2 linked regions of the Xenopus tropicalis genome follow. The main gene of each other region encodes a partner of the protein of the gene in region 2 in a complex. Links are inferred from orthologs where the notes say so. Each region holds a gene or a part of one and is shown on either strand. Other genes may lie near its edges.

The links. The genes of interacting proteins can lie anywhere in the genome.
Region 1: sf3b5 (region 2) and ddx46 share a complex: the UniProt entries of both Homo sapiens proteins name them as parts of the 17S U2 SnRNP complex. The link is inferred for Xenopus tropicalis from reciprocal best matches to the Homo sapiens genes SF3B5 and DDX46.

Annotation. Positions count from the first base shown.
Region 1 is NC_030679.2:26,177,940-26,181,601, reverse strand, and holds part of ddx46 (probable ATP-dependent RNA helicase DDX46), read left to right. Parts: intron 1-42; coding exon 43-180; intron 181-941; coding exon 942-1,091; intron 1,092-2,057; coding exon 2,058-2,288; intron 2,289-3,662. UniProt on the Homo sapiens protein: Component of the 17S U2 SnRNP complex of the spliceosome, a large ribonucleoprotein complex that removes introns from transcribed pre-mRNAs.
Region 2 is NC_030681.2:58,017,490-58,019,912, reverse strand, and holds sf3b5 (splicing factor 3B subunit 5), read right to left. Parts: upstream 1,196-2,423; 5' UTR 1,194-1,195; coding exon 933-1,193; 3' UTR 618-932; downstream 1-617. UniProt on the Homo sapiens protein: Component of the 17S U2 SnRNP complex of the spliceosome, a large ribonucleoprotein complex that removes introns from transcribed pre-mRNAs.

The DNA.
Region 1 (3,662 bases), on a different chromosome or scaffold from region 2:
TCTTGCATGGAATTATATACCAGTTTCATCTTAATTTTACAGGGATATGCCTTTACCTTCATCACAGAGGACCAGGCCCGCTACGCTGGTGATATTATCAAGGCTTTGGAGCTGTCTGGCACGGCAGTCCCTGCTGAACTTGAGCAACTGTGGAATGAATTTAAGGAACAACAGAAAGCGGTAAGATATTTACCCTTCCCCTATGCATTTGAATCCAGATGACTATGTACATGGGGGTAAAGTATTGTACACAGTTAAAGGGCCTGTTATCCAAAATAACTTTTAACAATAGGATTGTTTAAAATAAGGATTAATTATAATAGTTGATCAAGTACAAGGTATTGTTGTATTGCAGAGAAAAAGAAAATCCTTCTAGTAAGTAATTCACTTTAAAAATGAAATCTTGGGTGGCCGTACACGGAGTGGATCTTCTCCCAATATACCCACCTAAGGTGGGCGATATTGGGCTAATTCAATGGTTTGGTCCTAGGCGCCATCGGATCCCATCAATGAGCCAATGCGGCCCCTGATACGTAGGAAAATCAAACCTGCCCAATAGAAGGAGAATCTCAGAAGTGTGCAAGGCATTGTGGGAATTTGTATGGAGAGCCGGCTAAATTTTTTTCAGTTGTGTATAAAGTCAAATAGTAGTGCAGGTGGTAACAAGAGCAGTCAGATCCTGCTCAGTAGCAATAATATTCATAATTTACAATTATATTACAGTTAATTTTAATGTATATTACATAGTCGCTTAGAATAACATTTGTTTTATTACACCAAATGTTATATTTAGGATTACTTCCCCATCGATAGAAGTTTGAAACTTATGTTCTCCTTTTGCTCTGTGACGCAGCAAGAAAGTGCTGTTCACAACCCTGTCATGCTAGGACCCTTAACAGTTGAATCCTATACCTTTTATTCTAACTTTTATCTTTCTTTAGGAAGGAAAGATAATTAAGAAAACCAGCGGGTTCTCTGGTAAAGGCTTTAAATTTGATGAGACCGAACAGGCTTTGGCCAACGAGCGGAAAAAACTGCAGAAAGCAGCACTTGGCTTGCAGGATTCGGATGATGAAGATACAGCTCTTGATGTGAGTAATAAACATACAATCATGGTTATGTTCTCTTAGTAAAACCTGGAAAATATATTTGAAATTTTAAAAGGGATGTAAAGTCAAAATCTTAACTCCATGTTTAAATATAGCCCCAAGATAGGAAAGCACTATAACATGTTGTTCTAAATAAAATCAGATGGCAAAGCAGTTAAAACAGGGTTAAAACATAGCCAACTGGAGCTCTGTATTCCTTAATGTCTGCTGTGTAATGAAGAGTGGGCCTGTCTCACTCTCTGCTCATGTTTTACTTCCTTACCTGGGCCTGACCTGCGCTTATCAGCAAATGTACAATGACAATCCAGTAAACAATATCCTGTGCGTTTTTGTTCAAGTCTGGAATAGGACAGTCCCTGCTTTTTTTAATATCAGGATGGCCACTGGCCATGTAGGTTTGCAGGGGCTGTGAGCAGAGCTTATTTCAGAGGAATAACATAAGATGCAATATACAAAGGCTTCTAATTAAAAAAAAAGTTAGAGCATTTTAATGGGTTCATATTGCAAATTTACATCATTTGGTCTACTGTAAATAACACACACAAGGATTATGATTTTTGACTTCACATCCCCTTTAATATAGCAATGTGTAGCTCACAAGTGCCCTGGGCCATAAAGGCAGAAACAATAAATATCCGCTCAACTCAACTGACCTAAATGGGAACAAAGGTGTTAAGAGGCTCACTCAGGAGTGGTAACTCTTGCTACTGTAAAGATCTTATCACAAACTGGCAATCCCTATGAATTTACATTTCTTCTTCTTTAGAGACCTTTTGTACAGACCCTTTTTATAAAAGAGCTGACCCCGTTTTCTTTTTCTCATAGTATGACATTGCCACAGTTTGCCGTATTTGCAAGTAATCGTATTTGAAATTCAGTATGTACACTGTTTATCTGTTATGTGTTTATAGCATTTTGCATTAATTCAAAGTTTTATTTACCTTTTAGATTGATGAGCAGATTGAAAGCATGTTCAATTCGAAGAAGAGAGTAAAGGACATGGCGGGACCTGGTGGTGCGGCAGCAACCGGTGCCCCAGGAATGGTTGGTGGTGCTGTCGGAGCAGGCTCTTCAGCTAATGCAACATTACCCACTGCAGGCAATGCAGAGAAACTGGAGATTGCAAAGCGTTTGGCTAAGAAACTCAGCGTGAACAAGAATTTGGGAGCAGAAGCTCAGGTGTGTATATTTCCCTATAATTACAGGAAAGCCCACCTTAACTCAATTTTTTTTCTTTGACTTTGTCTAATGCAAATATTAAAGTACATGTAAAGCCTACATTTTGCTACAATGTATATATGTTGGGCACATCACCCCCACCCAAATGGCATCATATGTACTGCATATATCCCCTCTGTTTGCCAGCACCTTCACATTTTCCTCTGGCCATATTCCCTCTGACACATTATCACTTACATTTAAATCTGCTAACAGCATATGTGCACAAAAACCCCTGTTTATTGTACATATTATCAAGAATGCAGTCTCACACAGGCACACTGATAAAAAAAAAAAAGTTCTGCTTCGATTGAGCACTGTATTGGTTAAGCTGAGCTCAGGGGGGGAGGTTAGGAGAAAAAGAGGAATAGACAGCTAGAGGTGAGTTTCTATATATATATATATATATATATATATATATATATATATATATATATATATATATATATATATATATATATATATATATACAAGAACAGAGAGGAGCACACCCTCTGAGCAAAAAACAACTGCCCTCGGTGCTGGTCAAACAATTCAATAAACAAGCAGAGTACCGCACACAAAGGGACTTTATGAAAACAAAAAAGGTTTATTGGAAAAATCCGACGTTTCGAGCACTAAACTGTGCTCTTCCTCAGGGACAAACCTGAGGAAGAGCACAGTTTAGTGCTCGAAACGTCGGATTTTTCCAATAAACCTTTTTTGTTTTCATAAAGTCCCTTTGTGTGCGGTACTCTGCTTGTTTATATATTTATATATATATATATATATATATATATATATATATATATATATATATATATATATATATATATATAATATATATATATATATATATATATATATATATATATATATATATATATAATTTTTTTTTTTTTTTTTCCCCCTCATGGGTAGGCGGTGTTATATAACACACTAGGTGGTTTAGTGTTACTTAACCTGCAGCCTTCCTTATCACCTTCCATTGCCAAACTTCTAAAAAACCAACCTTCCATTGACTACCTTACAAGAAATCAACATGGGTAAAGAGGGTATTTATACAACAATGTACAGCCAGAAATGGCTAGTGATAAGTATTTTTAAGGTATAGCAGAGACAACTACCCTTGAAAATGATATACTGAATGGTCATTAATGCCAGGTTCTCCTGTTGATTTGTGCATTCCATTTGTGTAGTTATAGCAGTTTGGAGGAATGACTACAGCTTTGGTCATTTTTATAAATTTTAGAATGATCTCTAAGCTTTCAAATTGCAAGCTTTAATGCCCAAGGCCCTCTGTCTTCTGTAGCATTCATTGTTTGTATGTTTGCTGTATACGTCCTATTGTACATC
Region 2 (2,423 bases):
GATATTAATCCCCAAATGCAGTGTCTTCCAGTCACAGTTTTAAATGTAGGGTATTTAAGTGGTGGTTTACCATTAAATTAACTTTTAGTATGGTATTAAATGCCCTATTCCCAGCAACTTTGCAATTGATTTTCATATTTTTTTTTTTTTTAAATTACATGCTTTTCTCTTCTGCCTCTTTCCGTCTTTAAAATGGGGTCACTAACACTGCCAGACAAAAACCATTGATCTGTGTGGCAATGGTTGGTTTTTTTTCCCCTGTCTATGCAGGCTTTCTCCTATTCATATTCCAGTTCAAACCACTGCCTAGGGTAAATAATAGCAACCAGATAGATGTAAGAATATGAAAACTGAAAGCAACTCAACAAAAAGCTATATAAAAAAAAACAATTATGAAGCCTAATTGCAACTGACCCTAGGGTTGCTGGCTACTAAAAGCACCCTGACTACGTTTACCTTTTCCAGTTTTTTTTTTTTTTTTGGGTGGGGGGGGGGATGGGCAGCTAGATTCTCTTCAAGAACACCAAACATAGCACCCTGACAATAACATTTTACATACTTATTAATCTAATAAGTGAACCACAGTGAACAATTAAAAAACTAACAAGGGTATGTTGTACAAGGATTCAACAAGAGTTGATTGTTTTATTACAAGTGATAAGCAGTTGAAAGAAAAGCCTAGATTAGTCGTACAAGGATTTCGAAGAGACTTCAGGCAAATGCACAAACGTCCTCAAAGTACTTTATCACGGACTCCTGGAATTCAGAAACTCCATTTAGAATTAGCACAGTCCTGCTTTATGATACACGCCTGTTGATTAGGCGGGAATCTCTTGCTTAAGTCCCGGAAACTTTAAGACGAACGGCGATAAGTTTGATCGACTCCAAGAACTCCATAACAGGCAGCCTCAGAGAAGAAACCATCGCCACGCTTAAGAGTCGTCGGGCTTATCAGCTGGGGGCCCACACGGCTGCAGCATCTTCTCCATCAGGTTAAAACGTACCCGTGCTTTACTTTCGTTCTCAGCCACGGCAAAGTAATTGAGCAGATCAAAGTGGCCCATGTAGGAGCAGTAAGAGTCTCTGTGCTGGTTCACCAGCCACTCCCACTTAGTAGTATCCGCATGGCCCGTGCCGATATACTTGGACTGCAGATGCTCCAGTTGGCTGTGAATAGTATATCGGTCTGTCATGGCGATGGCAAGCGCTAACAGCAAGCTCACTGTACACGACTTGGTGTTATGATATGCAGCGGTAGCGCCTTTGGCTTCCGGAGGACAAAAGAAGTCAGCGTGTTACAGCAGCCGGAAGTTACGTTGCTTCCGGGAGTGACCAATATATCGACGCCGACTAAAATAAATAAAGTTTCGTAATTTTGTAGTGTTTTGCTCATTTTCGCTTCAGCGATTGGCCCGCCTATTTCAAGCGAAATCGAAACTCCCTGCATGCTCAGTTGTGGGACACAGGGAGAGAACAGGCGGAAAGCTGTATGGAAAAATATAAAGTGGTTGCAGTTGGGTCAATTCTATAGGAATAAACCATTTTTTGAATAGTAACCTCCGCAACATGTTAACACATGAAACAATACCCAGCGGCATATAGATTACTCGCCTTCCAACCTTTACCTTTAAAGTGATAATATCCGTGATTTTAGCACACAGTCTTGCGATTTATTAAAGTTATATAAAGGCAAGGGTTCAATGTCCCCTCTAATTTCTTCTCAGTTATGTACACAAAAAATATTTTGTGCGCACAGTTTTTAATTTTTTGCATTCAGCATGTGTTTGTAAATGCATACATTAAAGTGATGTTAGAGCCCTAAGGGAGCAACTAAGACACTACCCATTTTAGACATGTAAACTTTGGCAGTATAAGGGCATTTCTGGCACATAATAACTTGGAGAGGCTTTTCACAGGGTTAAACACCGAAGGGTTAAATTGACCTATCAGTATATTCCTCTTGTAACAAGCAAAGATCTATTAAAGAAAAATTATTTTTGCTTGAAAGAAAAAGTTAGAACTGAAGTAGGTAATAAATGTGCTTTAAAGTAATTCAAGCTTGTTGAATCATTTTAGGTCTGTTACACATGGGGGAAATTTGTGCGTTTGATCAAAGTAAGTTGTGCCTGCGTAAGGCAGCATTCTTCATTGCATGAACTTTGTAGTGCACATGAGCTGTTTGCAGATGTAAATGTCACTGATGATGTCAGAAGGAAAATGGCTGCCAGGTAAAAGACACTATTTGCTTTAGGGATATGTAATGGTGCTGACAAACACAGGGGATATATGCAGTACAAATGGAGTTGTTTGGGTGCCCAACTTATATATATATGGTAGGAAAATGTATGGTTTACATGTCCTTTAAATTGCACAAGTGGAAAGTAGGCAAGCAATATTGTTAACAAACTAAATAAAGTAATAAA